4 linked regions of the Rhinolophus ferrumequinum genome follow. The protein of the gene in region 1 purifies or fractionates together with the protein of each later gene. This does not show direct contact. Links are inferred from orthologs where the notes say so. Each region holds a gene or a part of one and is shown on either strand. Other genes may lie near its edges. The genes, in order: VDAC1, ATP5F1C, BSG and ATP1A1.

What was found.
Region 2: the proteins of VDAC1 (region 1) and ATP5F1C fractionate together in Homo sapiens (co-fractionation; 3 studies listed by BioGRID, with this or other methods). This does not show direct contact. The link is inferred for Rhinolophus ferrumequinum from reciprocal best matches to the Homo sapiens genes VDAC1 and ATP5F1C.
Region 3: the proteins of VDAC1 (region 1) and BSG purify together in Homo sapiens (affinity purification with mass spectrometry; 3 studies listed by BioGRID, with this or other methods). This does not show direct contact. The link is inferred for Rhinolophus ferrumequinum from reciprocal best matches to the Homo sapiens genes VDAC1 and BSG.
Region 4: the proteins of VDAC1 (region 1) and ATP1A1 fractionate together in Homo sapiens (co-fractionation; 3 studies listed by BioGRID, with this or other methods). This does not show direct contact. The link is inferred for Rhinolophus ferrumequinum from reciprocal best matches to the Homo sapiens genes VDAC1 and ATP1A1.

What each region holds. Positions count from the first base shown.
Region 1 is NC_046307.1:10,066,710-10,074,364, reverse strand, and holds the start of VDAC1 (voltage-dependent anion-selective channel protein 1), read left to right. Parts: upstream 1-4,228; 5' UTR 4,229-4,344; intron 4,345-4,429; exon of another isoform or gene 4,430-4,566; intron 4,567-7,655. UniProt on the Homo sapiens protein: Non-selective voltage-gated ion channel that mediates the transport of anions and cations through the mitochondrion outer membrane and plasma membrane.
Region 2 is NW_022680355.1:13,361,822-13,370,289, reverse strand, and holds the start of ATP5F1C (ATP synthase subunit gamma, mitochondrial), read right to left. Parts: upstream 3,283-8,468; 5' UTR 3,197-3,282; coding exon 3,141-3,196; intron 1-3,140. Other genes in the region: KIN (DNA/RNA-binding protein KIN17), read left to right, coding at 3,472-3,585, 7,188-7,282.
Region 3 is NC_046301.1:62,249,410-62,257,466, reverse strand, and holds the start of BSG (basigin), read left to right. Parts: upstream 1-4,697; 5' UTR 4,698-4,813; coding exon 4,814-4,880; intron 4,881-8,057.
Region 4 is NC_046305.1:46,576,613-46,584,297, forward strand, and holds the start of ATP1A1 (sodium/potassium-transporting ATPase subunit alpha-1), read left to right. Parts: upstream 1-4,363; 5' UTR 4,364-4,631; coding exon 4,632-4,643; intron 4,644-7,685. UniProt on the Homo sapiens protein: This is the catalytic component of the active enzyme, which catalyzes the hydrolysis of ATP coupled with the exchange of sodium and potassium ions across the plasma membrane.

The sequences.
Region 1 (7,655 bases):
GCCCACCTGGACAATCCAGGTTAATTTCTCCATTTCAAGATCCTTTACACAGGGGGCCAGTCCCGTGGCTCAGGTGGTTGGAGCTCTGTGCTCCTAACGCGGAAGGCTGCTGGTTCGATTCCCACATGGGCCAGGGGGTTCTCAACCACAAGGTTGCCAGTTCAACTCCTCGACTCCCGCAAGGGATGGTGGGCAGAGCCCCCTGCAACTAAGATTGAACACAGCACCTTGAGCTGAGCTGCCGCTGAGCTCCCGGATGACTCAGTGGGTTGGAGTGCATCCTCTCAACCACAGGGTTGCCGGTTTGACTCTTCGACTCCCGCAAGGGATGGTGGGCTGCTCCCCCTGCAACTAACAACGGCAAGTGGAACTGGAGCTGAGCTGCGCCCTCCACAACTAAGACTGAAAGGACAACAACTTGAAGCTGAACGGCACCCTCCACAACTAAGATTGAGGGGACGGCAACTTGACTTGGAAAAAGTCCTGGAAGTACACACTGTTCCCCAATAAAGTCCTGTTCCCCTTCCTCAATAAAATCTTAAAAAAAAAAAAAAAGATCCTTCATATAATCACATTTATTAAGTTCCTTTTGACATGCAAAGTAACATATTTATAAGTTTGGGTGATTAGGACATGGGTATCTATGGGAAGTCATTATTCTGTCTACCATGGTTTGTCTCTCTCATTTTTAATGTTGTGGTTGCATTAATACTAAATATATGGTTGCCCTCAGTTAGCATTGTAACAGAAATATTTCCCCACAGGAAGTCTTTGTAACCTTCTTTCCTCAAGGCTCTGAATCTATAGAGGGGATGTGCTTCAGTTTGCTGAAGCTGGAAACCAGGCTATGTTCCATTCTGGGCTGCTATACATCTGCCTGAAGCTAGGCTGGGATTATTGCCATAGCATAGGTTCCCAGAAACAGTCAGAGGGAGTAGGTTTTAGGTTTTGATTCTTATTACATGTCACCTAAGTGCTTTCCAGGATTGTGTCAGTTTACACAGCCTCTCCTGATCAACCTCGTTTGGCTTTCTTAAAAATTTCTCTCTTTTTATAGTAAAGGTATTGTATCATTAATAGAATGGGAAATATAGAAAGGGCCAAAGGAAAAAAATCATAGTCTCCTAAATTGAAACACAATTTTCTCTAACACTTAATGCATTTCTTTCCACTTTTCTCTCTCTCTCTCTGTAAAAACATGGATATGATATTAGAACTCCTTGGAACTATTTTAGATCTAGGACACCTCATATTTTGGGGTACGCAAGAGAAATATTTTTATTATGCTCATCTTGGGATGGTTTTCATCCTGTTTTCCCAGCTGACTACTGCTCTCCATGTCAGTCAGAACCTGGAGGCCAGGCTAGGTCCTTCCCTGGAAGATGAGTGTCAGGGCACAATGTGGAGAGTACACCCTGAGATTCTTGACCACACATCCTCAAGCCTAGCTCCTACCTAGACTATAGTCTGGAATATGGTTAGAAAGGTTAGGTTTTATGACAATTCAGTTTTATATTCTAATTCATTCATGCTGGTTACAAGCAGAATATTTTTCTCTTTAAAAATTATATATATTACATCTTCCATTTCTACTTTCATAGACCTTATCTTTCTGTTCTGATTACTTGGCAAAGACGGTATTAAGAAATCTTATTGAGGTACATCTGGCCCTGAAAAGAAGTGTGGAAAGTGTTTCAACATAGGTTCTTTGTAAATATCTATATACCTATATAGTAGAAACGTTATGCCTGTAAGCTAGATATAAGAATTTCCCTAGAATGAAATATTCTTACACCAGTCAACCATTCCAGCATTAAAAAGAAAAATCTCATCTTCTCTGGATGTTGAAGGGAGGAGTGGAACTGAATTAGGTAGGACCTGGAAGAAAACCTAATCCAAACAGGACTAAGTAAAAAGGAATTTGTCAGCCCAGATAGCACAGAGGGTGGTGTGAGGCCTGGCTAGGTCCAGGACATGTTGTCCCCAGGACCTGGTGTCTCTCTTTTGTGGGCCGAGTTCATTTTTAAAGTATTTACCTCAATAGCCCCAGGAAGTCTGACTGGGTCTCACTGGTCCATCCCTGTGGCCAGGGGAGTACAGTGTATTGATTGGCCAGGGTGAGTCACAGGGCTACCTCAAGAATGGCCCTGGAGTCAGCTGCATGAGGATTGTGTACTGAGAGGAGAAAGGTCATTCCTCCAAAGAAAAACTGTTACACCTTACCTGGGTTTCTTACTTCAAATTTACGAGAGAGGACCTGATTGGCTGGTCTCAGGTCAGGTGTCCATCCCTGGCCCAATCAGCAGTGGCAGCCAGAGTGGAGGTGGGGCTGGGGTCGGTAAGCCTGGTATGACAAATTGCCTTGGCTCAGCTCTTCCCTCAGGACTACAGTGGTGAGAGGTCAACACTAGGGTCTGAGGGCTTCTATGTCCCAGTTGATTTCTTCACCGTTTTCTGAGTGCTTACTTGTTACATAATCCATTTTAAACTCACAACAACCCCCTGAAGTTGAAGCTGAGAGGTTAGGCCCACAGTGCAGGGTCACACAGCCAGTAAGTGACCCAAAGGGTGCTCAGGTGATTAATCTGAAAGCGGCAGGTAGGGGAGTCCCAGAAGGGACCCAGAGCAGGTGGGGCATGGGGAACTCTCCTCAGGTTGCGGGTCCTGGAAGGGGGATTGGCAGGGAGGTGCTGGTAGAGGGGAGGGAGCAGCTTGGACATTTGGTCTAAGCAGCACATTTGGGCTTCCCTGACCCAAGGTGTGGCACCTGCTCCTAGATCATGTGAGATTTCCAGAATCCCCTCTCTCGACAGAACCACCTGGTCCTGCCCTACTTCCCGAGGCCTGTCCTCCCAAACTGCCTCATTGCACTTGTGGGTGACTTTGTGACTTTCCCTGCCTGACCCTGTCCAAAAGTGGGCTGGGGCCTTTGTGTGTGGGGTGGGGACAGCCAGGTTGGGAAGCCCTGAGTTCCCAGTCAGCCATGGAGAACCTTATGGTCCTGGGGAGAGTTCTAGCATAGGTCCTCTACTCTCCAGGGCCTCGAGGGGTTCAGGGGCAACTCCTCACATGTTCAATCAGACCTGAGCCCCCTACAGAGCCCAGGGCCCCCTGTCAGCACCCCTTCCCCCTCTTAAGCTCCCTTCTTCAACAGCTGCCTCCATTGGAACACCAGTTGCCACTTGCTCATTTAAGTTTGCCGACTCTTTCCAGCAGCCGGTCTGATTGCTTCTTGGGACGCCCCAGAAGCGTGCCTACTCCTTTAACTTGTGCCACAGCTGGTTGTGAGCGAGTGTTCTCTCTGTAGTCCGGAGTACGGGGCCCTAGACGCCTCAAGACTTGAAGAAAATTGGCTGAAGGCGAAGGCTGTGCAGAATCTTCACGCCACGAATTCCTTAATTCTTGAAGGCGGCTTGGGGAAGTCGGCTTGGGATGGCCCTCGCGTGGGATGCCGTTGACACTCAGTGGTGATGGAGACCACCCGCGTAGGCCTAGCGGGGTGACTCTAGGCGCTTTATCCGAGCTCAGCGAGGAGGCAGGGCCCGGGTGGACGCGGTTCCGGGTTCCCCAAGAGGCCATGGGCTGGTTGTAACCTGTGGTACCTCCCGAGCACCATGAGACCCAGCAGATGTTCTTGCAAAACGCAATTTGCTTTTTTCACTTCTCAAACGCTCCGAAAATGACTGCTAGCAGCTTCGCTACCGGGGAAAACTGCTAATTTGGACTGCAAACTTGGCGCACAGGGGTTTTCTGGGCGCTGCCCCCTGGCACCGCAGGGCTCTACGAGCCGGGCCCGGCGTAGAGAAGGGTCCGCGGCGCCGGAAACAATGTGTCGGGAGCGAAGAAGTAACAGTCGTGGCCGCTACTCTGTATCTGCGCTGCCCGGGCGCCTGATCCCCAATCGGGGCCTGGGAGCCCGATTTAAAGCCCCGCGCTGGCTTTGCTCTGGGGTACCCGCGGTCACCTCGTCCACCCAGGCTGGGTCCGGGTCCAGCGCCACCCGCCAGCCACATCAGCTCCTGGGGGAGAGGGGTTGTCTCCCAAACGCAAGGCCGAGCACGAGGTCCAGGACCCCGCGTGTCTGCGTTAGCTCAGAGGATCCCTGGCCGACGCTCCGTTAACCGGAACAGCCCCCCGCCCCCCCATCCCGGATGCGTCAACCCGGCGGGATTTCCAGCAGAGACTGGCGGGCGCCGGCGGCCGGCACGCGTGTTCCTGCGCACGCACACACCGCGCGCACGTCAGCCCCGCCGCCCCGGGCCCGGGCGCACGCGGGCCCTCACGCAAGCCCGCGCACGCCCGTGGGCTCTGGCGTCCGCAGCGGGCACTGAGGGGCGCAGAAAGGTGCGTGCGGGGCTCAGGACCCGGACCGGGACCCGGCGTGGGCCTGGGTGGTGTCCGGGGCGGGCCCCGGGGCGGAGCTCGCCGGGCGGGACGCGCAGGGTCGGGGCGGGTCCGCGCCGCCGCCGTCCGCGCCGCTCCGCCCTCGGCCCCGCTGCTCTCCCAGTTCCCAGCGCTGCAGCCCCCTCCGCGGCCGCCGCCGAGCCCATCGCCACCGCCTCCGAGGTAGGCGCAGCCGAAGGGCCCTGGCTCTGCCTGCGCCCCGGGCTGTGCGCCTCGTCCCTGGGGAGTCGGGGAGGAGATGGGGGACGGACCGGCGAGGGCCGGGGAGGGAGCGGGAGCGGCCCGCGGGCCTGGCGGGTCAGTGGCTGCAGAGCAGGCCGCGCGGGCGGGTGGCGAGCGGGCCGGGGTTGGGGAGCGAGAGGCCGGGCATCCGGAGGTGCCTGCGGCTTGGGGCCAGAGCCCGCGGGGACTTAGGGCGGAGGGACACGGGCCGCCGCGTGGAGGCCCGGCCGGCTGCAGGTCTAGGTGACCTTTCCCGGCGGCGCCCTCTGGCCCTCGATGCCGCCAAGCGCGGGTCGGGCAGGGACCTGTTTGTTACCCAAGCTCGCGGGGCCGGGCCCACGGACGTATGCAGGTCGCGCTGTTGCCGCGGGGCGACCGTGGCGACCATGGCCCGGCGCCCCCAGTCCCTCACGCCCTGTCCGGCCTACGCCCGGAGAAGCTGGCGCCGGACACTGTCCGCGCGTGCCAGCGCCTTCGGGGCGGAACGGGAGGCGGAGAATTGACTTAGGCCGCGGGGTCTGGGGCTGGGCCCTGGGCAGAAGGTTAGGCCTAGGAAAAGGAGGCCCCGCGGAGCGATGTGGCCGGTCTCTCGGCCTAAGCAGGGGTTCCTGGTTCCGGCGCTCATTCATTACCCAAATGAGGCGGTGCATTCTCGAAACTGGTTCACCGCTTTCGATTTGAGGCCCGCAGCCCAAGTGACTTGTCCAAGGTCACACAGCTGGGAGGATACCACACCTCAGTTTTCCCATCTATAGGTTGGGAGCAATTATACCTCTCCTTCGTTGGGTTTTTGGGAATAAAATGAGTTGATGGACAAGAAGCCTTCAGAACAGTGCCTGGCAAGGAGAAAGCCTCGGTAGAAGCCTTGACAAGCCTTTTTGGGGAGACTGGTTTGCTCCACGTGGTGTTCTGGAAAAGATTCAAAAAACACTGCCCCTGATATTTTACATATTAGGTAATATTAAGCATTTGTGTGCTAGGCATTGAGTAACTTTCATGATAATTCATGAAAAATCCCTGAAGTTTACAGACAGGATCCAGGTGGAACTGGAAGTCGAATGTGGGTGCAGAGGTAGGCCTGTTCCACCTGAGGCCCCTATCCTCTTGACTACCCTCTCCAGAGGAGATGGGGAAATGGGCTCCTTTGCCTAATATGCTGTTGGCAAGGCCAAGGTAGACTGCCCAGGGCCTACCTTCTTTCTGTCCACCTTAGCTGTAGACTGAGTTTCTACACCCTCAGGCATAAGCCCTATGTGGCTTTGTTTTTGGTGCCTGTGGTGCTACCTGGCACACAGTAGGTACTTAAGAAGGGTCTGTGGGGTACATGCACTTTGCTTTTTATCTAGGAGTTGACTCAAGCTTATGGACAACATAGCTTTTGCTGTTCCAACATGTGGCTTATAGTAGTTGCTCATTAAGGATTTGTGGAGTTATTGAATGGGCGTGTGGAGCGACTGCAGGACCAGACCATAGCGCCTTGATCCTGGACATCCTTTTGGAGGGACACATGCATCTCACTCACTTCCAGGAAGTAGCCTTGCCTAGCAGAGAGTCACACATAGTCAGGTTGCCAGGGTTTATACAGCCCTAGAGCAGTGAGAGGCGAAACTTCCCTCATTTGAAATAACTCCTTCAAAGGCGTTACCTTCATTCTGTGACTTTCCAAGTCCTGTGGGAAACTTGTTGAACTAGTGTTTCTGGGTTTGCAGGGCGGGTGACACGGGTGGCTGGGATGCTCCTAAAGGCCTTGGGCTGTCAACTCGTCCCTCGTACGGTGAATGGGCCACGGGCTTCTGCTGGAGTTGACCTGAATGAAGTGCTTGACCCTGGGGCCAGGGGCTGCTCTCAGTTGATTAGTTTTATTTCTGCTCTTCTAAAGCGATAGGCAGGGCTCTTGATAGACACAGACATGGGCTCACGGGGCCCGTGAGCTTCTGGTCCGGCGGGACTCTAGGCGGATGTGGACGACCACTGCGTAGTTGGTGTTGACAAGGCACATTCACCCCCACCTTCCCTGGTCAGATGCCCCCTAGGTGCTGAAGTCCACGGTGCCCTGGATGGCGTTGCTCTCACAGTGTGATAGCTTTGATGGTAGAGACTGAGAGGTATGTGTGTGGCTGAGGGCCAGCAAGCCTGCAAGCAGCCCCTCAGGGCTCACAGGGCCTGTGACTCGTCTGGTAGCCCCTGAAGAAAGGTGAGCAGTGGGGTCCTCAGCTGGGCCTGGGCACAATGCTCCCATTTCCTGCTTGCTCTCAGGAGGGTGAGGGTGAGTGGGAATCTAAGCGCTTTACCCAGACTGTACTGGAAAGAGTCCTGGAGAGCAGATGGAGCTTGCAACACAGCCGTAGGGTCTAGTACAGATCTAGTCACTGTCCTGTGCCTCAGTTTCTCCAGTATGAAAGTGTCATCATCATCACAGTCACTGTTTATTGAATGCACGCTCAGCACCCTCCTGGGGGCTTGACATATGTTCTGTGACATTGAATCCATCATCGTACGAGCCCTGGGAGAGAGTGACTGTTGCTTCCATTTCATGGTTCAGAAGGCTTGAGCACAGAGAGGTGAGGTAAGCATCCAAGGTCACACAGCTCAGCAGCAGTGGAGCTGGGGTTCAGGGTCTGGTCTGGCTAGTTCCAGTGCTGGTGCTTTCAAACTGCAGTTGTCACTCCAGGGGGCCATTGCGAGGAGCTAGTAGATGGGAGTGCTTTTTGAAAAGTAGAATTTGCTGTTCAGAGGGGAAGCGCTATTTGTTCACACTGATCAGAGTTAGCCAGGTCCATAGCAGGGTGTAGGCCAGCTGTCAGGGGATAGCGGTCAGGGGAGTCACCCCAATTTGTTGCAAGGGCAGTGGCACTGGGTTTCTATCAGAAGGGCCAGTTTTCCTGGGATAAGGTGGGAGGTATTCTTCTAGGACCTGGCTGGACAATATTCAACTAAACAATACCTCATTATGGTCAGGGAGGACTCTGGACCCTGTGGCTCAGGGTGACCTTTCGGCTACCTGCACAGCAGCCATAATGATAAGAAAT
Region 2 (8,468 bases), on another chromosome or scaffold:
ATCATGTCTCAAGGAACATTCAGGAGATTATTTGAGAAACCAGAAACATATGAAATACAGTGGGTGGGAAAAATCACAGATTGTGGATTACCAGTCTCTCCTGTATTCATACAGCATTGTTAGAAAAGCTGAAGAAGGCAGTGGTGGAAGGAGTCAGCGAGGTTGCTAGATGAATGATTTATCAAAGACATTACAGATGCCTGAGAGAATTTCAAGGAGCATATAAATGCAGTATAATATAAAAATTAAGGAAGTAGCAGCAGCCACCAATTGTTAAGGAAAACAAAATTATGATGTGTAATTATAACACAGAATGCCTGCGTGCAAGTCCATCACCTGTCCCTCCACTAGAAAACAACTCCCTTGCACTTCTTCACCAAGACTCAGCCCGTGACTGAGTCTTCTTTGGCAAGTACAATAAACCTTCTTACATTCTATTTTATACAGTAGAAACTGTAGTTATAAACTCGGTCTCATTTTTCAATTGATACGTCTGGGTCCACAGCAGCATATCTTCCACTGCCCTCAGTTCTTTACAAATACTGACTCCTTTAGCCCTCACATTCACCTATTAATTGTGTAGTAGTATTATTACCTCCATTTAATAGGTAAGTAATATTAGAGACAGACACTGAGTAACCTGTCTAAGGTCACACTGCCAGGTGAGTGGCAGTCAGGATTCAAAGCCCAGCAGTTTGGCTCCAGCCCACCTCTTGTACCATACATACCCTGCTGCCTCCCGTTTTGTACATCTGCTTTCTCAGCCTCAGGTGACAATCTGCCTTTTCTCTCCTGAAATGCCATCTCCCTTCCTTTTCAATGTACATATTTCAATTTATGGCCACTGCTCTATTATAAAATAGTTCCATTTTAAAGAATGTAGAACACTAGGGAATAGAAATGTACTGTCCCCTAATTTGAGACAGAAGAACAGAAACTTTTCCCTCCAGATTTCTTATTTCCATTTTCTTCTATGCTATTTTTTAAAAGTACAGGTTTAATATATAAAAATTTGGGGTACTTTCTAAGTATGACTCATGTTTACTTAAAACTAGCATGCTAACCCCCCTAAAACAAAACCTAACAATGACAAATTGTACATTTCAAAGCTTTCAATAACCAAGAGAACCAAGAAAATGCCACTTGGTTCTATTAAAGCAAAGGCATTTTTCTTTCTTTTCTAATTAATTCTGTGGAGTGTGAATCATTAATATGGTTTTCATTTCTGAATTTAAAAGTCAATTATAATGAATGGGAAGCAAAGGGGCACCAGAGGCAGTAAGACGTCAGGCACCCAGAGTGACGGAAAATGTGAAAAGGGGACAGAATATGCTTTCCATTGAGGAACACTGATGGCTGATGAATATTCATAACCTACCAATTTAAAAACACATTCCAAAGGGATGAAGATCAGAAGCATGACCTTTATTTGCTGATTGAGGTTCCATTTAAGGTCCTGGCAGTAGTTGTCACAGATTGAGAGTGAACTCATAGTTAAAACAGCTCTTAATAAAAGATCTTCAAATTGTCTTGTAGGATTTTAAAAGAAGTTATTTCCACAGTATTATGTAAAATACTTGTCCTCGTTTCAGGAACTCTGCATTTAAAGATCAACTTAGATACCACTTTATGGTTCTAAAAATAATGACCATTAACATGAATGCACAGCAAGACGGGAAGGAAAGGAGAGCTGACTGCTGAGCCTCACTGCATCCATGAACCGCTCCACGAAGCAAGACCGCTTATGTCTGTTCACCACATTTCAGCACTCGCCGCACTGCCAACCTGGTGCAGCGCAGGCACCTACCAACTGTCAAGTGTCTGCCGAGTGATTAATAGTGGCACAATCTGCATGACAGAAGTCCACTTACGGTGAGTTCTTAATTCCCACGAATACTTTTTTTCAATAGTAGGCAAAAAAGAAATCTGACTTCCAAGGCAAATCCACCAACATTTTTATGTAGCTATTTCATATCACAATTACTTTATTACCCTGAAAATCTTGTCTGTTATAAATTCTTCGCTTAACGAAAACCACACCTATTTCAATTAATGACTTATAGTCCCTTCACATAAATTTGGATACAAAAATCGTTTTTGTAGCATCTTAGAATTCTTCTCTACTGTAAAAACGGGGAATTGCGACAGACTACAGCTAATAAACCCCTTAACAGTGTCTGAAATTCTCCTGGATTCTTGTCTAGCTTCAAGGTATTTCATCCTATTATACGGTACGACCACAAACCAAGTTTAATCTAGCTATTCCTAGGCCTTCTAACATGCAACTTTTTTCGGGAACCAATGTTTAAAATCCTTAAAACGTGCACGGCAGTCGACAGACGGCACTTAGCTCTATCTCCTCTTCCCCTTCAGGACCTTGGGACAATTTTATGACCTTGCAGGGTTACTGCTTCAGCGTAATGGTTTCAAGATAGTGCTTGGTGTCTTTCCCTTCCTCGCCAACTGACAGATGTGTAAGGTCCCGTTTGCACCTCAACTACCATCAGCCCACGAGGGCACTTATTTGATTCACCAGTGCCTAGCAAAGCGTCTGCGACATGGTCGGTGCTTAATAAACGTTCTGGCCGAATCGAACCGCTCTTGAAGAGTTACTCCGCTCTGCACTGGCCCATGCAAACTCTGCCCAGCACTGCAGGGTTTCAGTGGGTGTCAAGGACACAGAGTACAACTTAACCTTCCCCTAGACCTTGCCTTAGGGCCTCCCCCCCCCCGACTGTGTGGCTCCGGGTAAAGATAGCATGATACTCGCTGCCAGTCACACAGCGGGAGCTCCGCAAGTACTTATTAGCTGAATGAATCCAGGACCGCCCTGAAATTAATTCGGACTAAGGTCTCAATACCGAGGTCCCAGAGGACCACTCCTCGTGGCCTTCACCCCGCCCCACCACGCCTCAGGAGACGTGGCGTGACCGAGAGGTCGCTCCAGTCCCTTCGCGCACCCTTCCCGGATCGGAGGCGCTTCCTGCAGCCCGAGCTTCCCGGGGCCTCCGTGGGACTGGGGGCCGAGCAGGCCCTGCAACCCCTGTTCCGTCCGACTCGCTTCCACCCGCTTCCTTTTCTCCCTCACCGAACTCTTCCATCCCTCGCGACCCTCCCGTTCCTACCGCAAGCTGCCATACCATTGCGGCTGCACGGCCCAGGCCGAGACCCCCACGACGCCCGCCCGAGAAAACATGGTGGTACTGGCCCAAGCTGAAGGTCGGTCAGACAGGCCTCAGCGCGCACGCGCAGGAGACTCCCCACCGCCCCTCCCAACCCGCTTTCTTCTTCAGTCTCGCTGTTAGCCGCCAGGCTGAGGGAAACCTCGCGAGCTTTGGGGGCTCAGCCTTCCGAGGCTCCACCTCCTTCCGGCTCGCAGCGGCTGTTTGTCCCGCCCACCCCTGTCAGCCCCGTTCCGCTTCCGGTTGGCAGGGCACTCGGTTCCAAAAAGTAATCGCTGCAGTGGTCGCGATGGGGAAGTCAGATTTTCTTACCCCGAAAGCCATCGCCAACAGAATCAAATCCAAAGGGCTTCAGAAGCTGCGCTGGTATTGCCAGATGTGCCAGAAGCAGTGCCGGGACGAGGTAAGGCGGCCCGGGATGGCTCATGCCCGTGCCTCGTCCTCTCCCCTGGCGGGGTCCGGCTGGAAATCCTGGCTCGAGTCCCTGACGCTGGAGGTGAAGGCCTGGGTCTCAGGTCCCTAGTCGTGGGGTCTACACTGGGCAAGTCAGCTACTCCACTCAGTAGGGACATTCCTTCCTGCAGCTCCCGTCCTGGTGGGGAACCAGTGCTCTTTGACGCCTCTGTCTTCCCCAATCTGCCCCCAAAAGAAAAGAAATACGAAAAAGAAAAGGTTTTGCGGTTCTTGTAGAAGTGATCCTACTCAAGCTTTCATAAAACGGAGGCCTGAATAGTTAAATGCCGGGACGCCTGGGCAATAGAAATAACAATCACCTCTGACTTGACGTGCCTCTTAGGAGAAACAGGATACTTAGGATTCACAGCTCTTTTCGGGATCAGATGAAAAAGGAGAAATAAGCTCTTGTACACTGCTCATCTAACAATCATATTTTCAGCCCTTAGTATGTGCCAGGATATTATTATTAAGGTGTGGACGCGAGTCAGACTGTCAGAATTATAAAGCCCAGCCGCACCACTTACTGGCTGTGTGGTCTTGGGCACGTTACATTCTCTCTGCCTGTTTACTTATCTGTAAAGTGGGAACAATAACTGTACCTACTTGTAAGATTGTTGTGAGTTTTAAATGAATTATGTGTAATGTGAGTCGGGGTCTTTGGGCAGATCTTGAAAAGCCTTGTATGCCTTGCTGTGGAGTTTACACTTTTCCCCACTAATGAGGTGGGTGATGAAGAGCAGACTAGTGATGTCATCGTATTTTCCTCTGGAGGTCTAGTTGGTAAGGACGGAAGAACACTGGGGAATTGGAATAATCTCATCTACTGTTTCTGCAAGTGAGGGATGAGATGTTTTAGGTGGGACTCATATTGAATAGCATTGATATGGTTATTCTCTTTCATTTCTCTTTAGTTCTTTCCATTTAAGTCAAGGTGAAATTCTCACACAGAAAATGAAGACCAGTACAATGAACATCCATATGTCTATTACCCAGATTTAACATTTTAAGTATTTTGCCATATTTACTTTTTTAAAAAATAGTTTAAATTATAAACAGAAGGATATTTCACCTCTAAATATTTAAATATCCATTTCTAAAATATCAGGATTTTTTTTTACAGTCACAATATATGTCATCAACGCATAACAAAATTAAAATTCTTTCATGTTGTCTGATACATGTTCCATACTCATGTTTCCTCACTTGTTCCCCCAAATGCTTTTCAAATGCTTAAGCTAAGATCCAATCAAAAACTATGAATTGGATTTGGTTATTAAGGCTTTAAAAAAATAGACTTTATTGTTTTGAGCCGTTTTAGATTCAGTGCAAAAATGAGTGGAAGATACAGAGATTTCGTGTGTGTGTGTGTGTGTGTGTGTGTGTGTATGTATATACACACACCCTGCCTTCCTTCATACATGTACAGCTTCCCCCGGTACATTTGTTGCAATCAGTGAAGTTACACTGACACATCATTATCACCAAAGTCCATAGTTTACATTAGGGTCGCTCTTGGTGCTGTACATTCAATGGGTTTGGACAAATATATAATGACATGTATCTACTTTTATAGTATAATACAGAGTAGTTTCACTGCCCTAAAAATCTCTGTGCTCCAGGTCATTAGGACTTTTAATCCTCTCTCAATTCTGAATTTAGAATAGCACTCACTCCCCGCCAATTTGTTTCTTGAATTGACTTAAGAGACTAACTCAGTCAGTCATCCGGGAGCATTCCCACTTTCTGGATATGTTGAATTGTTTCCTTGTGATTGTCTTTTGCCTTCCTTCCCTAACTCTTGTAGTTTCTGTAAACTGGAACTTAGACCTAAAGGCTTGATTAGGTTCAGGTTAAACACTTTGAGAAAGACTGCTTCATAGATGATCCAGTGTATTTCATATCGCATCACGTAGGGGAGCCCATATGTCCAGGAGTGCTAAGGTGACTGAGTAAAGATGACAGCCTGTAATGTTAGGAAGTAGTATTTTCTCTCTTGCAAGAGCGAGTAACTAGTGGAGTGATTCTTTGGAATCATGGCCATATATCTATTTTCCCATCAACCTACCTACATGTGTTTTAGCAACTTTGCCTGAGTCAGTTATTTCATTAGGAGCTGCAAAGTGGTTATTTTTCTAATTCTTTGTGCATTTCTTATTGGCTGTCAATTATTTGTAAAAATGAGCTTCTCATCAGCTAGTTTTGGGTTATTCTCACATGTTATCCTGCAATACAATTCCTATGGGAAAGGGAAAAGAAATGCTTAATCTTTCTCCTTAAGGCATTTGCGGTGGTCCTGGCCTCTTTGCCCCCAGATCTGTTCATTGCCCTTCACTACCAGGGAGTCCAGCCTGGGGGAGGAGAAGTTGACCCCTATAAATTCCCTCCTCTGTCTTCTGTCTCGATATTGGAAGATAGAGGGGGAGAAAGGTCAGATCTAGAGTATTCCCTTCCTTCCTTGGATTTCCAGGATTTAATAACATTATTTTGTTTTCACTTTGACTTATTTTTAATTTGGGGAAAATGGGACTGGTGTTTCATTTATGAGACTGATACTAAGTTTTCTTTTAAGATATATTTAAGTAAGAGAGATGCAAAGATGAGCAAGAATTTTGTAGGAGGTCTGTGGATGACTGAAGATTAGGAAAGTACCCTAAGCAAGATTCAGTGTGAAATCAGGACAATGGCAATGGGACGAAGAAGAGGTTACGGAGAAGGCTGAGTAGACCTAATGACGAATGGAAAGTGGGATGAAGGAGAAGACACTGGGAAACAATCCTCGTCCTGGCGTGGTGACTGGGTGTAGAATAGTGCTGTTCATTGAGATGCGGGGTCAGGAGAGGCACGTTTTTCATTTCTATTACTAGTGAAGAATCAGGTTCAAGTGGTAAGTAGAACAGATACAAAGTCAAAACTTACATGTTTTTAACAATCATCTGAAGACGATACAGATTTAGTATGTTTAACATGAGGTTCTGTAATATGTAATAACGTATTTTGAGGTAGTAGACTTCGGGGGGCTATCACTCTGTGAGGGGTGTAAATGTCTACTCATTATGTTGAAACTATAACAATAAAAAAATTGATGTATTTTGGATAATGAGATAAAGGAAAGGAAGAGTGAGTGAAAAATGGTTTCCTTAGTGGAAATTCACTAATGACCTATTTTATTTCACTATATCCCTCGAAATGCTTCCATAACTCTCTGTATGAAGTAGGTACTCAATAGGAATTGGTTAAATTTAGTCAAAAACAACAACAAAAAAAAACAAATTCACTCTTCTGCTACTTTGCCCAGTAATGTTTCTAAAGTACTGTTTTTCTGTCTCTTTAATCCTGGGGATTAGTCTTTGATTAGCAAGGTTGCTAAATTCAACTTCGTAAAAAAAAAAAAAAAAATTTAATGATAGGGTGCTTACAGCTAATGATTTGATTATTTTTTACAATTTATCATCAAAGAGCAGCTTTTTAGGGTTTAATTACATACTTCTACTCAGGGCCCATTACGATGACCTAAGTCAGAATTTAACTACTGCCTTTATGTTTTTGTAGAATGGCTTTAAGTGTCATTGTATGTCTGAATCTCATCAGAGACAACTATTGCTGGCTTCAGAAAATCCTCAGCAGTTTATGGATTATTTTTCAGAGTAAGTAACTCAAAGACATCTTTATCTCATAAGCTTTATTCAGTTGGACATTTAATAGATGCTTAATACTTTATATGTCGGTGGCTCTGTTTATTCCTTACATATTAACATGATAGCTATATTATCTCTGTGCTCAGTTTTTGTCTTCCTTTGCCAATTTATCATAGTATGAAATTGTTAAGAAAATAAAGTTTCTCGCAATTCAGCCTTTCTTTTTCTTCACTTTAGACAAAGGAAACTGTCTTTTAGCCTGATTTTAAATCCTTCAAATCCGAGCCTCTCCATTGTTTTTCTGTGCTTAACTTTCCTTATCTGTAAAATGGGACTAAAAATAGTACACTCTTTTAAGTATTATAGTCCCTTCATATGGTTTATATGAAGATGAAAGGAATTAATACTGTTAAAGTGTTTAGAAGAATGCGCCATACACAATATTAGCTGTTAATTATTATTATTACTATTAATAATTAATCTTGCTTCTATCCATCTCTTTCCAAAAGTCTAGACCTTTTGGTCTTAGGACCAAATTTTACAGTCTTAAAAATTATTGAAGATTCCCAAGAGCTTTTATTTATGTGGGTTATGTCTATTGATACTTGTAGATTAAAACTGAGAAATTTTTGAAAAATATTAATTCATTAAAAATAATAGCAAACATATTACGTGTTAAAATAAATAACATTTTAATGAAAAATAGCTATGTTTTCTAAATCAAAACAAAAAAACAGTGATAAAAGTAGCATTATTTTATATTTCTGCAAATCTCTGCAATGTCTGACTTAATTGATTTTCACATCTGCTTCTTGCATTCATTCTATTTTAGAATGTTTTGGTTGAAGCACGTAAAGAAAGCCAAGCCTTTACATAGAGTTGTAGTTGGAAGGGGGGGACAGAGTATTTTAGTAGTCTTTTCAGATAATTTTGAATATTCCGCTTTGGTATTACATCACAACACAATACGTGGTAATTTCTTAAAAGTTAGTTGCAATGTGGAATTTGAAACCCTATCAGTGAACTTTTCGTACTCTTTTACATTAAAGTACATTGAGTCAAAGTGAAAACTTTGACTCTGGATTGTGTACTCATGCATGATTTTGTAAAGCCATGCACTGGTTATTTGGAAAATGTTGGTTCACTGAGTTACACAGATCTTCCGAATGGTGATACATTTTATTATGCAATATCA
Region 3 (8,057 bases), on another chromosome or scaffold:
AGACACTGGAGGGGTGGAGTGTGGGGACAGAGTCCCAGAGAGCAGTTTCCAGGCTCTCGGCCTCTTGGGGAGGTGCTGGCCTGGGTGGTGAATGATCATCAGCTGTAATTGGTTGGCCATCAGCTGTAACTGGTTAGCCAATTGGCTACTGATATAACTGCGGGGCTGCGTTGATTGGTTGGTTGGTTGGCAGGCAGAGAAGTGAATGGCGGACTGCAGATAGTGTGGCTACTACTGCGTGTGTCTCCCCCAGCTACCAGAGAGAATATAGTCGTATGACTCCCCTACCTATGGCTCCGTGGGTGTTCCTTTTTGGCCTCACCATATCCTGCGTTCTTATGTGGGGAGCGGGACCAGAGACCCCACAGGCCGCCCTGCACGACAAATGGCGCAGTGAGCAGGGTCTCCCGCAAGACAAATTCTCTACAGGCTTAGACATTTCTTATGTCAACAGTGGCCTTGCCTGTCTGTAATTCATAACCAGAATGGAGCAACAATTGTTTAGAGGGGCCTCTCACCCAAGCTTCATGTTAGAGAAAATCCACACAGACTGGGCTGCCAGGTTCCTGCTCTGTGATCCTTGCTGGCTGAGTCAATCCTTGGAACAGAGCTCCTAGGATAGAAATTCAACCAATGGGCCAAAGACCTGCCTCGTCCAATCGGATCTGTGCAGCAATATCCTCTTTGCATCTTTCCCCACCAATCAGAGTGGCTCCATTTTGACCAATCAGGGCAGTCCTATTCAGACCAATCAAACTGTGAAAATTTGGAGTCCAATTTGCATAGAAGTGGACCAATCAGGGACCAGCGTGGGAACTTCTCTATAAGTCTGCCTCCCTGCCATCTTTGTAGAGCACATCCTCAGTTTCCATTTAATGTTGTGTTTCCTTGGCTGGGGCTATGATGCCTGAATCACGTTCCCCTTCACTGTACCCCAAATTAGGGATTCCTGGTGGTACTGAATTGTTGCTGAGGACGACCTTCGGTTGACACAAGTTTCTGTGTGGCTGTGAGTCTTCAGTTCTCGTGGGCATATACCTAGGAGTGGAATTGCTGGGCCAGATGATAACTCTGTGTGTTACTGCTGGTGTGTTTTCCATATTGACTGCACCATTTCACATTCCCACCAGCAGTGCACAAGGGTTCTAGTTTCTTCACCTTCTCCAACACTTGTTATTGTCTGCCTTTTATTACAGCCATCCTAGTGACTGTGAAGTGGTGTCTCACTGTGGTTTTGATTTGCATTTCCCTGATAGCTGGTGACATTGAGCACCTTTTCATGTGCTTATTGTCCACTTGCATATCTTCTTTGGAGAAAAGTGCATTCAGATTGGGTTATTATCTTTTTTTTAAATACTGTTGTAAGTGTCTTTATATATCCTAGATATAAGTTCCTCATCAGATACATGATTAACCAATATTTTCTCCCATTCTGTGGGTTATCTTTCCACTTTCTTGGTTTTTTTAATGATTTTTATTGGGGAAGGGGAACAGGACTTTATTGGGGAACAGTGTGTACTTCCAGGACTTTTTTCCAAGTCAAGTTGTTGTCCTTTCAGTCTTATTTGTGGAGGGCGCAGCTCAGCTCCACGTCCAGTTGCCGGTGCTAGTTGCAGGAGGCACAGCCCACCATCCCTTGCGGGACTCAAGGAATCGAACTGGCAACCTTGTGGTTGAGAGCTTGCGCTCCAACCAACTGAGCCATCCGGGAGCTCAGCGGCAGCTCAGCTCAAGGTGTCTGTTCAATCTTAGTTGCAGGGGGAGGAGCCCACCATCCCCTGCGGGACTCCAGGAGTTGACTGGCAACCTTGTGGCTGAGAGCCCACTGGCCCCTATAGGAATCGAACCGGCAGCCTTCGGAGTTAGGAGCACAGAGCTCCAACTGCCTGAGCCACCGGGCCGGCCTCTTGTTGTTTTTTAAAGCACAAAAGGTTTTAATTTTGAGGAAGTCTCATTTATTTTTTTCTTTCATTGTGTGTGCTTTTGGTGTCATATATAAGAAATCATTGCCTAATCCAAAATCACGAAGATTACATTATTCTATTTTTGTTTTAAATTAGTTTATCATTTTAAAAAGCATTTGTTATACTGTATTTACCCAAAAATAAGACCGGGTCTTATATTAATTTTTGCTCCAAAAGACACATTAGGGCTTATTTTCAGGGGATGTTTTACTTTTTCATGTACAACAATCTACATTTATTCATGTACAACAATCTATATTTATTCATTTATTCATGTACAAAAATCTGCATTTATTCGAATACAGTCATGTCATCTTCTTCTGGAACATCGTCATAACTCTCCAAACTCCAAATTCCAGCTTGAATTTCTTGCGACTCCATTTCCTGTAGAACCATTGGCCCCAATCTCTCATGTCCAGCAACAGAACTCTCCTTAAATGAGCACTTCTTGTCCATGTAGCCTGCTCATCGTGCATTGGGAACACAGCTGTCAGTGATTTTATCCCATGAATTCTTCACCCAAGTCACGGCTTCTTGCAGGCTAGGCTTCACAAAGTTTCCACGCTGATTTCTCTCCATTCTATTTTCAATGTAGTCATTGATTTCCATGCACAAATCGTCCTTGAATTGCTTGCTTATTGCAATATCAAGAGTCTGCAGATAGGCAGTCATTCCTGCGGGAATCATTATTTGATCTATTCTTCTCTCTGCAAGGAAGTTCTTCATGTCTTTAGCGCGGTGAGTGCTGGCTGAATCCCAGACTAGCAGACCTCTTTGGCCACCTCACAAATGGCAAAACAAATTGCAGCATTAAATCGACCCACTTCCTTATAATTGCTTGTGTGCACCAGGCGTTCTTTATTTTAAGAACATAAACACGTTCAACTTTTTCTCGCCCTTAGTGATGATTAGAGGTGGGGCTTTCTTTCCACCCAGATGAATTGCCAAAATACAGATAACACGTGCACTTTTGTAACCAGTGGAGGGAATGTAGATTGACGAGGCACCCCTCTGATCAATTGTCACTTGAGATCCTTGGCCCATAAATACTGCAGTTTCATTCATAGCCATCACATTTGGAGAGCTGGTATTTAGAAAAGTCGATGCCATCAATAAAGGACTTGAATGCAAGTGCACATTTAATAACTTCAGTATCTTCCAGCTTGAACACTGCTGTCGATCTTAGAGACAGTTCATATCGCTGAAGGAAGCCATCCAGCCAGTGTTGTGATGCTTTGAATTCTTCTGGGGATATTTCTAACTGTGGTGCCATTGCAAGGGCAAATGCTGGAATATCAGCCCTGTGCACAACCAAAGCCTTTGCTCTCCTGTCAGCAATCCATTCACAGATGATCTCTTCCAGCTCAGGAAATAATGGTTGCTGACTTGATCCACACTTGCGCTTCTTAGCATTTCCCTCGTCCACCTGTTGACTGAGGTTATTGTACTCTGCTCGCCATTTTCGGACCATTCGGAGATCCAACTTCTTCTCTTTGCAGAAAGCCGGAAGATTCTTGCCCCAGGAGTAATCCACGAGTCCTTTCTTATACTCGACAGAATAGCTCTTTCTCATCTTGTCTGGGGGTCAAAATATTATTCCCTTTAAACGTACCATTAAATCAAGAGTTAATTGAAGACTACGAGACAGGAGTGACAACAAAAATGATGATAGTTAAGAATGATGGTCCACACAAAAGCGGTGAAAAATTGCAGGCACCAAAATTCAGAAAAGGTTTCTTTATTTCACAAGAGTGCATTAAGTACGTCCATTACAATACGCAACGTATTGAATTATGAAGATTCATATTAGACACAACCACGTCTGCTCGTTATCAAGTGCACACGTTATTCGTGAGTTGTGTTTATACTCTGATTGGTCATTCGGCAATAAGTTTCGAGTTCATGTGTTTACATAGGCGTTTACCTCTTATCCGAAGGCGCCCGCTTGGGTATTTACAAATACTTAATTATAATTTATATTATCATTTATTTAAGTATTAATGCCAATAATATTATTTATATTTAATTATATATAAATATTATTTTATAATTCAATACGTCAGTCGTGTGTTGCAACAGACATACTAAATGTGTCCGTCTGGCTGACAATCTTAACTGGGGCTTATTTTTGGGGTAGGGCTTATAATATGAGCATCCTGAAAAAATCATGCTAGGGCTTATTTTCCAGGTAGGTCTTATTTTCGGGGAAAAACGGTAAAACATGGGGACCTCAGGGTAGGTTTTCCAGACAAAACACAGGACTGCCAGTTATGCTTGAATTTCAGATAAATAGCAACAATCAGATAAATAACGAGTATTTTTCTTGCATCTCTATGTCTACACGTTGCACGGGATAGTTACGCTAGTAAATCACTCGTTCCCTGTGTAAAATTCAAATTTAACCGTGGTCCAGGTCTTTTTATTTGCTAAACCTGGCAGCCCCTGTCCCCCCAGGGAACATATCCCACCTGTTCACAAGGATCCCTTAATGTTTTTTTGTTGTGGTAAAATACACATAATAAAAATTGAGCATTTTTGCCACTTTTGAGTGCACAGTTCAGTTCTCAACACTTTCTAAAAGAATGAAAGCCTCGCTCGCATTTCTTAGCAACGTAGCCACGCCCCTAGGCCGCAGGGCGTGGCGCGCCGGAGTCACATGCGCCGCCTTCCAGGCTTCCGTAGAGCAAGCCTGCCAGGGCCAGCGCGTGCGTACGTGCGTCTACACGCGTGCGCAGGCGGCGGCCAGCGCGCCCCGCCCTTGCGACACCGCCCTGCGTGCGCGCGCCCAGCCAGCCCCTTGGATTATTACAGCGCCGGGGGCGGTGGTTGGCGTCGGGCAAGGCGGCGACATGGCGACAACGCTGCTTGTAGTATTGGGGCTCGCGCTGCTGAGCGCTGACAGAGGCACCGGGGCGGGTGAGAACTGGTCGGGCGGGGGCCGTGGGTTCGCCCTCGGGGGTCCAGCCGGGCGGGGGTGGAGGTGAAGCCCCGTCCTCCTAGGGGAACCCGTGAGCTCCGGCGGAGACAGTGCCCGGGGTTTGGGGCGCTCCGAGGACTCCCCGCCGAGGTGGTATGTTGGGAAGCCCCGGCTTGGGGTCTCGGGGATCCGACCAGGACGATACTGAAGTCCCAGATTTTTGGCGGCCTGGGGGAGGGCGGGGTCTGGGAGCTGTTGTGACCCCTGGTGAGGGCACCTGGGGAGGGGATCTGGAAGCGGCCCCCCACCCTTCCCCCGCTGGGGAAGGGACGAAGCGGCTGGGTCTTGGGATCGGGGGCCCAGGGACCTGAGGAAGCAACTTGAGGGTGAGGTTCCCCGGCCTGGGTGTGCGGGGCAAGGGGCGAGAAGGGCCCTCCGGACTCCCTGGGGCGCTTAGCTCTTATCTGGAAAGCGGGCTGTTGTCCTCAAGTGGACGCTGGAAGCAAATGCACTTGAGCGTCCCTGAAGCTGGCGGCCGTCGAACTGGCAGGGATTGTCATTCTTGCTGGGATTTAGGTCCCGACTCTCCTGGGTGTGCATCTGCTCCTGGTGTTCACCCAAACTTTTAAACCCTTGTAGGGAGGCCGACATGCTCTATTGCCTTAGGTTTTGTCTGATTTCTGGGCACAGATAAAACTGGTTTAATCCACCAGCCTCCTTTTACAGGGGTGGAAACTGAGGCTCCGGATGGGAGGGGGATGTTCCAAGGTCACCGTGAGGTCGCCCTGGCCACCCAGTTCAGAGCAGGAAGTGGAAAAGGTTGTGTATACAGACTCTCAAACAGCATTCAGTTTTCAGAGCTGTTAGGAGGAGTGGGCAGGGTTTTAGGGGTGGGCAGATGTGGTTTGGAGAAGGCTCGGGGGGAAAATGGGTTAAGGTGCAGTTTTCCAGGAGAAAGCCTGACAGACGTTTTCTTCCCCTGTGGAGACTTTCTTTCTGGTTCTGGGTTACCAATTTAGTGACCGGCATGTAGGGAGCAAAGTGCAGACGTGAAAGTTTTGTGGCACTGAGCCCTGGAGGGGCTGCCTCTTGTAGAAGTTTCACCGGCTTACTCCTGACCTACTTTAAGATCTCAGTTCGCCTCTTCCTCTTCTTATAATCAAAACGGCCATTTATCGAATGCCTCTGGGCTACCTGTCTGCCCACCAGCGCTCTCTGGAAAGACTTACGTAGGACCCGTAGTCGAAGTGAATTCGGAAGATAAGCAGCTGGGGCCTCGGTGGCTGGAGACAGCCAAGGGGGTTAAGGGACCGTGGTTTCCTCTGCTGTGGCGCACAGCCCCCCAGTGTGCTCCTCGCCTCAGAGCCCCAGCCAGGAAGCCAGGAGGCTCTGTGTGGGTGCAGGTTGGGGGCTTTTCTTGCATGCTCCCTGCATGGGGTTCACTATGCCCTCTGACCCCCTGGGACTCCTGTCTGTTTTGTTTTCCTTTTTTACTTTTGACAGCTCCCCCTTTCCCAGGAACTCTTGAAAATATCTGAAAGTCTTTCAGAGGATGTCACCACATGTTCCTTTTCTCCCTGGGAGGAGTGACTTAGTGACAGTGTTTGCATATTCAGGCCAGCTCAGCACCCCAGGAATGCTCTGGGTGCTCTGCTGGGAGACCCTGGCTATCCCTAGGATTGCCCGGGGTCCTGTCATTCCGGCCAGCACGTTGGGAGGGCATGGGCTTGCCATCTGGGTTCCAAGGGCTGATGACTTGGCCTCTCTGAACTGCCTCCTGGTGGGATGGAGAGGAGGGTGGTGAGGTGGGGAGCCCACGGCTGGTCCCCAGAAATGCTCTTGGCTCCTATCTGGGGCCTGCAGTGCTGCTGTGGGTGGGAGGAGGGTGGGGACCTGCAGCCTCATCCTGATAGCTCCTGGGCAGTTCACCACGAGGCCTGCCTGGCCCTGCTCCCCAGCCTGGCTGCCTAGTGGGCACTGAGCAGGGGTGGCTGTTTTTAGATGAAGGTGACTTTACTTGAGAGCGTGGGTTACAGTCACAGGGCTGGAATGCAATTTTCACTTTCCACTCCCTGTGGATTGGGGTTGCTCCCCACCATCTCCTAGGCCCTGGGTTTGGCCAGGGGTTGCCAGAAGATGTGCTTTTCAAACTTTCTCAAGCATGGACGTCCTCCCAGAAAGCCCCTTGAGACCTTTTTCCTAATGGTCCTGTCCCAGTATTGTTTTACTATCACAGATGTTAGCATCACTTCTACCACAGATGTCTCTGTGCGTGACCCCGAGTAGGGTCACAACCACTAATGCCTAAGATACCCCTCCACACACACACTTACACGCACCCTTGGGAGTGACGGGGCCCTGTTGAGGGTACATAAGAGAGGTGGCCACATGGTGGTTAGCTCACGGGCTCCTTCGGGTGACCACTGTCATGTGGCCCAAGTGTGGCCTGGCTTGGTCCCCTGCAGTGTGTGGCCTTCAGGCCAGGGCAGAGGTGTGGGCCCGAGGGGCTTTAGGCTGGCTGTCAGGCCACCTCTGTTGCCACACCCGAGGCAGATGCAGCTGGGACAAGATCTGACCCAGCTTTCTAGCGGCCCTGGGTGAGGAGATTAGAGCACTGCAGGGGCTGAGGCTCTAGGGTAGAGAGCAGGCCTGTCTAGCAGGAGGCCTGCCTGGGCCTCGCTTCCAGCCCTGACTCATTGCTTCCAGCTCTGCACATAGCTGGTGTTTTGCAATCTTGGGAAGTTTTGACTCCTGAGAAGTGTGGATTACCGGGAGGTGATTCTTTTGTGATAATGGCACTGCCACAGAAGTTTCCAGCTTCCAGCTTCACACCTTCGTCTGGTTGTAACTGTTCCTGTCCTGAGTCCTGGGAATTGCTTTTGGGTCATCCCAGGTGAGGGGACATGAAGGTCCACCTGTCCCAGGGTCTCGGGGCCACCTCACCCCAAAGCAGACAGTCTGAGGCCCCAGGGTCATAGCCAGGGCCATGAGTGTGTGTGTGTCCATGTGCGCTCTGTGGGTACACGTCTGTGTGCCCCTTCTGCCCACACGCACACATGCTGTGGTGTGCGCGTGGGCATGCTCTGGAGCAGGGTGCGCCCCAGCCCCAGCGCCTCCTTGCCTTTCCTGTCTGGCCTTGGTCTAGCATTCTGCTTCATCCCCTGCTTGCCTGGAGT
Region 4 (7,685 bases), on another chromosome or scaffold:
ACTGTCATCTCTACTGTCTGGATGCAGATGACTCTGGCAATAGAATATTTTTCGGTCCAAATTGCTTTTTTGTTGACATTTGATTTTTGTTTGTGATGCCCCAGTGGTTGTTGATAGGTCGAAAACCAAGGGTGAGTTCGTACATGGCAGGATATTGTAACACTTCATAGTGTTTTGAACTGCCGTTAGGGGCATCAAAGAAGGGTATGAGGGAGAGTGAGAGAAGACGGAATCCTGGCTGTTAATTTCAGGATCTGATGTAAAACACATGAGAACCAAGTAAAGGGTCCTTTAACACTGTTTTATTTACAAAGTCTGCCATTAATAAGAGCCAATTATTTCAGTGGCAGTTGTGTTAAAGGGAAGCCGAGGAAAAGACTGAGGACTTGACTCTGTGAGGTTGGTAACAGACCCCAGGCCAGGTACCGTGTGAAGGCTGACTTTTCCAGATTTCAGGAAGCAAAACTTGAGGGCTTCAAAATCATTAACAGAAAAGAAGTTGTGATATATAGATAATGTGTTATAGAAATGTACACTTGAAACCTATGTAATTTTACTAACCCTAATAAATTCAATTTTTTAAAAAGCTAAAAGTCTGCTTAGAAGAATATTAAAGAGCTTTAAAAGAGAATGAAGAGATGAGTAGAAAATGGAGTCTGGAGGAAAAGTTACAGGGTCAGAATTATTTAGCTGACAGATTTTTGATGGTCAGTGGAGTGTTTAGAACTACGCTTTTAAAACAGGAGATAATACGTCTGCTGCTGGACAAGAAGAAATAGATTTGCAGTGGTGGGATGTACACTGGCGAGGAGGAACTTTGGGGTGGTAAGAAGAGTTGGCTTTAACGCAGGGAGAGTGGCAGCTAAGTAGCTTTCTGGGGTGCCGAGGAAATAGAAAAAGATAAAGATGCGAACATCAGATTGTTTCCATGCTAGATCTGTCCTTCCAGATCCCTAGCTCATCGATCCCCCAAACGTTTGCTGCCTATGGAAAATGCTTACTTGGTGTAGGCTGCAACCTGTATTTTTAAGCCCTTAATTGCAATGGTGTATTTGTTCAATGCAGCAAATACTTAAAGTGCTGGCGCTTGGGCTCAAAATACTGACTTGCATCATATTTTTCATACATCTGCTGATTCTTTTCACAATGACTGGGCCAACCTTCCATGGTGGTGTCAAACCCTCCTCAACACTTGGCAGCCTTGGGGTCTGTAAATGTTGAGTCTCTAGGGCAATTCCTTTCATTGTTTTCCACGCTAGGTGCTTAAAAAGAGCTGAACGGAGGCAGATAGAATAGGGAGGCAGAACTCACCCCACCCTCTCTTCTGGAAGTACCGTCCTCTCTGGGAGTTTGAAAAGATACACAAAGGTTCTGCTATTCTCCTGGGACTATCCAGCGCCCATACTCTCTGGCCTTCAGTTTCTTCATTGTGAAAAGAGGGGCGTGTTTGATCGCTAAGGTTCCAATCAGAAGCCCCTCCCAAGAGGAAAAAGGAAGTCTTTCCCAAAAAAAGGACATTTCCCCCCTTGGTTGCCTATGTTCCAAGGTACCTCTCCTGCATCTGAAACTTCTGCTTCTGAAACCTTGGTCCTGGCCATGCTGTCCTTGTGTCTTTAATTCCATAGGTGTGTCCAGGGCTCCATATTACAACAGGGTAGGGTTTCTTCCCAACACTCTTTCCCATAAAAAGTTGGCAACGCCTGCTTCTTTACCATATTTTCCCCCTTTACCTCCTAAAATTAGTCCTCAAGTCCTGGCAATAATCTTTACCCCTAAAAACACCCTTGAAGACTGCCCAGTGCCTAGACCACAGCACTTGGTATGGGGGGATCACGTTTAGAGAAAGCATTGACTTTAGAGGAACAATCGCCAGGCCCTTTCTGATATTCTAAAAAGTTTCTGTGGAATATCTTTCTTTCCATAGGACTGACATGGAAAATGGCATTACGAATTTTGAAAATGGAATGGGATTTGCCTCTGGAGGTGGGGATCAGGTGGGCCAGAAACCGGGGACTGAGGGGCGTATGCGCCCCATAAACTGATGAAAAGCGGAAATAGGAAGAAAAGGTTCTAGCTGAGGTCTTCTTGGTAATACAAAAGGGGAGGCATGTGGAAACACTGTATTTGTGAGGATTGCAACATTGAGAACAATGGCTGTTCTCCCACCCAAACTTCCTTGGTGCTGCGCTCTGAGAGCAAGCTTTCAAAGTGGGAAGATGTTATTTTGTAATTTTGAGGACAAACTCCCCGAATCACTAACTCAGTGGTCTTGTGAGAAGAAAGTCCCCCAGCCTCCCATTTCCCACTCTGGAAAAATGCAGCTAAAGCCCTTTACCGTCCAAACTTATGAGAATCCAACAGGATTTTTATATGAAAAAGTGCTATGGGGAGGCCAAAGCAACATACAGATTTTAGTTAACAATTTTTTAACTTTTCCCCTCTCTGGAATACAGCTAGAATTTGGAGGTCCTCCTGGAAGGACCTTCAGCTGCCAAACAAACAGCTCTAGCGACAAAGGAAAATGCCTTGATCTATCAGGGTTATACTGTGGAAGGAAAAAGGATAATTTTACTTATGGAGAACAAGGAGCTCAGTTGGCAGGAGACATCCACATCGTTCAGAGTTTTGCTTTCTCCATTTGGTTGTTGTTCTTGCTGCACTTTTTCCGTTCAGAACAGGGCCCAAGGGATGATGAATCTTAGACAAGCTAAGAGATCTCGTAAAAAGCACAAGTCTCCTACAGGCCAGCAGTCACGGGGCCTGTAAAGAAAGCGTTTTCTAGACCCTTGGAGATGGAGCCCTGATAACGTTCTGCAAATGCCTTCTGTTGAATTAGCAGTGTTGGGGACTCTGGATTTGGGGCTCTCTCTCCCCAGCAGTCATAAATTTGAGTTCCACTTACAATTTCTGCTCTTCCTGGCATGGAATGATTTAACGAAGCCTGAGGATCCAGGATCAGGGGAGGAGGGTCCAGCCCTTAGCAACACATTCTTGGGCAAGAGAAGAAACAGTTTCTTCTAAGAAAGACTAAGAATTACCGAAACCTTAGCATTCCTTCCCTGCCTCCCTCCCTCCTTCCCTTTCCTCCCTATTTCTTTCAAGCTTCCCATCTCTATTTGTTCCTGTTAAATGAATACTTGGAGTTGATAGGGCCAGCTTTTACTTGCTTAGGAAGTTAATATTTTCCTTGTTTCTTGTAGTATTTAACAGAGAGGTGGAATGACTTTCTCCGGAGAATACTGACTTCCTGAAAGCATTGTTAATAATACTACTACCTTGCTTTCTAAATGGAGACTTCCAGCCACTGCAGCCTCTGCTAAGAAGCAGAAGCCATAATGCGAGGGAAGTCCCATAAGGCAGCCAGGCCAGGGCTCTCTGGGGGTGGGGATGGGGGTGGGTGGGGGGTGGGCGTGGAGGTCCGGGGCTCATCCTCACACTCGTGCCCAGGGTCCCTCAGAGCACCCAAGGCGGCACTGGAAGAGCACTGCTGTGCCAGTAGGCGGCATAGGGAGGCACCAGCCATGTCGTCAAACATCTTCCCCTCCAGTCGGCCCCTTTCGCTAACGATATGCATTCCTTAAGGTTTCAGGTGTTCCTCCTCTAAAAAGCGAATCACCAAACTGGACAAGCAGGTTTCATTCACACAGTTGCCTGAATGAATTCATTGGACGTCCTTTGCATTGTCATTTGGGGAGGACGCTTGGGGCCTCCGGCAAGGCCAGCCCAGACCCATTCCTCCTGGGGCGGAGAGGGAAGTGGATAACGGGGATCCCAGACCTAAGGAGGCCTTCGGGAGGGCACCGAGAAGCTGGTGGGCTCGGGGCCAGGACAACGCCGGGAAGCGGAGTCCCTCAGGCGGGCGGGGGCTGCAGTCACACCTGAACCCCCACCCCCACCTCGGCGCGTCCCTCCATCCCAGATGAGCTTCCTGATGCAGTGGAAAGGCCCCTCCGCGAGAGGTTTCTGTCCCGGTTCCCTGGAGATTCGGGGAGCCCAGTTCCGACAGCGTCCCCGCAACCACTGCGGACCTTCGGGGCCCTACAAAGCAGGCCGGTCACGCAGGGCGGCGCGGGGGAGGAGCACGGGAGCTCCATGGCCGCCGAGGCCGCGCTGCCCGGCCAGCCCGCGCCCCGCAGAGGCTCGGCCGCGGCCTCCCGAGACGTGGGCACGCGCGCCGGGGGGCCGGCGCCCTCCTGCCGGGAGTCGGGACTAGCCGCAGCCGGCGCGGCCCGGGTCTGGGGGGTGGGGTTTGCAGAGGGGGCGGGGTCCGGCCGGCGGCGGGTGTCAGGTTGCTCCGGTAACGGTGACGTGAGGGGCGTGGGCGGGGCCAGCACGCAGGTTGCATATTTTAGGAAGTGAGGAGGAGGCGCGGGCTGGAGCTGCGGCGGGGTCTGGGGCGCAGAGGAGCGGCGGGAGGAGGCGGACACGTGGCAGCAGCAGCGGTAGCAGCCCGGCGGCGGCGGCGGCAGCGGCGGCATCGGCCCGACCGCCGGCCGTCCTCCCTCCCTCCCTCCCGCCCCGCGGCAGCCCTAGCTCCCTTCTCGTTGCTCCGCTGGCCGCGAGCTGCTCTCTGCTTTTCTCGCTGATTCTCAAGCGGCGGGACCCCGCGCCGCGCACTAACCACCGCCACCATGGGGAAGGGGGTGAGTGTCGGGAGAGCTGGGGCCGGGGGCGCGGGGAGCCCCGGAGGCCGGGGAGGAAGTCAGGAGGGCGACCGCAGCCGGCGAGAGGCGGCGGAGGAGGAAGCGCCGCGCCGGGGGCTGGCACAGCGGCCAGGCTTAAAAGACGACGCACTTGGGAAATGGAGGGAGCGCAGCAGTGGGGGACGGCGGGCGGGGGCAGGGAGCGCTGGGGAGACGGCGGGCGGCCCCGGGAGAGGGGCTGCGGGCCCCCCCATTCCGAGCGCGCCGTGGCCCGGGGCGCCCGGAGCCGGCGCTCTGAGCCGCAGGGCTGGGAGGAGGGCGAACGGGCGCTGGGCCGCCCCAGGAAGCAGCCGGCCGCCGGCGGCATCCCCGAGCCCGCTTCCCTCCCTCCACCCGCCCTCACCTCCCATCTCTCGCCTTCCTCTTTCCCTCCGCCCTCCGTGCCCGGAGGCCAGGCGCGCTCCTCCCCTTCCCCTGGGGCGCGCAGCCGGGCTCCTCCCGGCTGCGGTTCCCGCCGCGGCCCGGGGCGCCGGTAGGGGCTTCCGACGCGGGGGCGGCCGTGGGGTACGAGGCTCCTTCTCCTGGAGGCGCCGGGGCTTAGCCAGCTTCCCGCAGAGACGGCCGCCCTCCCCCAAAGGAAAAAACTGGCTTCCCCGGACTGTGGAGCCGGTCGTGCGGGCTGGTGCCAGCAAGGGTGTGCCTTCACCCGCCTTAAGATGGCCTTTAAGGTATACTTCCGAGAGCTTTACTGGGACACTTTCCACAAACACAGGATGCGCCCGGGGCAACTGCAGTGGGGAGGGGTATGTAGATTTTTTTGGAGGAGGACAGGCTGGCCGACGAGGGCTTCTGGGTACGATAAACCCTAAAAAGGACTGGAGGCAGAGGACAAGTCGGCGGTGGTAGGACTGTGGAGCCGCGGGAGAGCGGTTCCCGAGGTATCCAGGGGGATCCGAGACAGGAAAGGAGAGCACGTCTGGTTCCTACCTTTCTGTCACTGGGAGCGGTGATAATCGGGACCCCAGCGGGGCCAAAGAATCTAGTTGAGGAATATATACAAAATATACAAATATATACCAAATGTATACAAATATATACAAAATATACAAAATTATACAAAATAACCCCAAAAGCATCAATTCATGGCATAAGATGACTAGGTCGTGAGAATACTGGTAGGAGAGAATCCACTCCCTTAGCTCTAGGGCTTGCGCTGTGCCTGCACTTAGTAGGCCTTTGAATGTTGCAGGGCTCTTCCCGGTGCAGTGAATGCTGGGGGAAAAGGGAGGGTGCATCCTGACTTCCAAATGGGTTTTGAAGGAGACAATTGCAAGGCTTGGAGGACCCGAGAGGGATAAGTGGGAAATGCACAACTTGTATCTTTTCAAAGCACAAAATGTGGGAAGGCTGGCGCAGGTCAAGAAGCTGAAGGCCAAGAGCTGAGTGCCAGCCTGTTACTCCCCACGATGGAAACTGGGTTAGTGGCCCGTGTTTGTACCGCACTGTCAAACCTTAGGTCATGCCGCTAAACAAGCTCTTTAAAAGCTCATTCCTTTATCTCTGCCCCCCCTCAAATAAAAAAGAGTTTTGTTTCTTGAGCTGGACAGTGCTGATTTGGGCGGGTGTAGAGCTCATAGATACCCTCCCCGAGGCCTAGGAAGGTGAAGTGACTTGCTCAAGGTCAAATGGTTGGTTAATGACACACCAGATGTCCCTGATTCCTGAACAGCCTGTGGCCTCCGCAGCCTGAACACTCACTCACTGCTTAACAGTTGCCTTATATGTAGAACGCTCAAGTCATTCTTCAGATGAACCGGGGGTGTTTCTGATCATGAATTAATGGACCAGAGAGATGTTTGAGTAAGTTATGTCTCTCTGTGTGTCTCTTTCATAACCACACACATACATAGTATTGGTCAAGTCAGCAACATACCTTGTTGGGGAGGTAGGTTCAAGCAAGGTGTTTCGTGAATCCCAATAAAATGTCTAGAGGCGAGCAAACACAAAATTGAATTATAGCTGGTTAACACAGGATGATATGCCCCTTATATGCTGGGTTGTAATTAGTGTCTTGGATACTCTGATAATTTGAACGTTAAGGGTGTATGTGTGTGTGTGTATCGGTGGTGATTCTCCTGGGATAAAGTTACCCTTTTTGTCCCCAGTGACTTACTGTGACAGTCCAAATGTCCAGAAGGATATTTTATGCTGAAATGTTGGGATTTTTCCACATGAGGATTAAAATGTGGGTGGAGTGATGACTAAAGCCCAGCTGATAATTGGTTAGCCAGGAAACCTGTGCTGGCGGCTCATTTTTAAGGTCATTGTTAATTTCTTCCCCTCTTCCTACTTTCGGATTGCCTAGATTTTGATGATATTTCAGGTGATTTTATTTCTCCTTAAAACTCCAGTTCCTGAGCTTTCGGTAGGAAAATGAAAGAACAGCTGAATCATTCCTGGATGAAATAGGATTTTGTCCCCTTTTTTTTTCATATTGGGTGTTTTTGCCAGTGACTTGGCTTAAATCCCTAGCTAGGCCTGCCACTCACAACTATTTAGCTCAACCAAGGTACACAGAAACGCTCTCTTCTCGGTTACAAAAGATTGGGGGGGGGGGGAGGCAGGGATGTCACCAGGTCCTTCACTGCAGTTCTCCATTGTTTGAATATTAACTTAGTTACCTAGAAAATAAATCCTAGCTCGTGGGTACTGGTTTAAAGAGGAGCAGGGAAAAGGGTTCAGGTGAAGGCTGGACGAGGGGTACACATGTCAGCAGAAATCCTGGTTGTATGGTAACATTATCAGCTGCCCTTTTGGAGCTCAACTTGAAAGTGTGACTAAATCTTCTCTGGCTGCTATAAAGTTAGTACTTTAGACGGAAAACATTGTAAGGCAGAGTGCTCGATGTGGAAAGGTGCCCAGGCCTGGCCGCCGGTTACAAGAGGAACTCGGGACTGACAGCACTGGGGGTAGAGAAGAGGGTTGGTTTGCATCACGCCCTTTGCCTGTTAAGTGTTGGTGTGCATGTGACAGCTTCCCGGC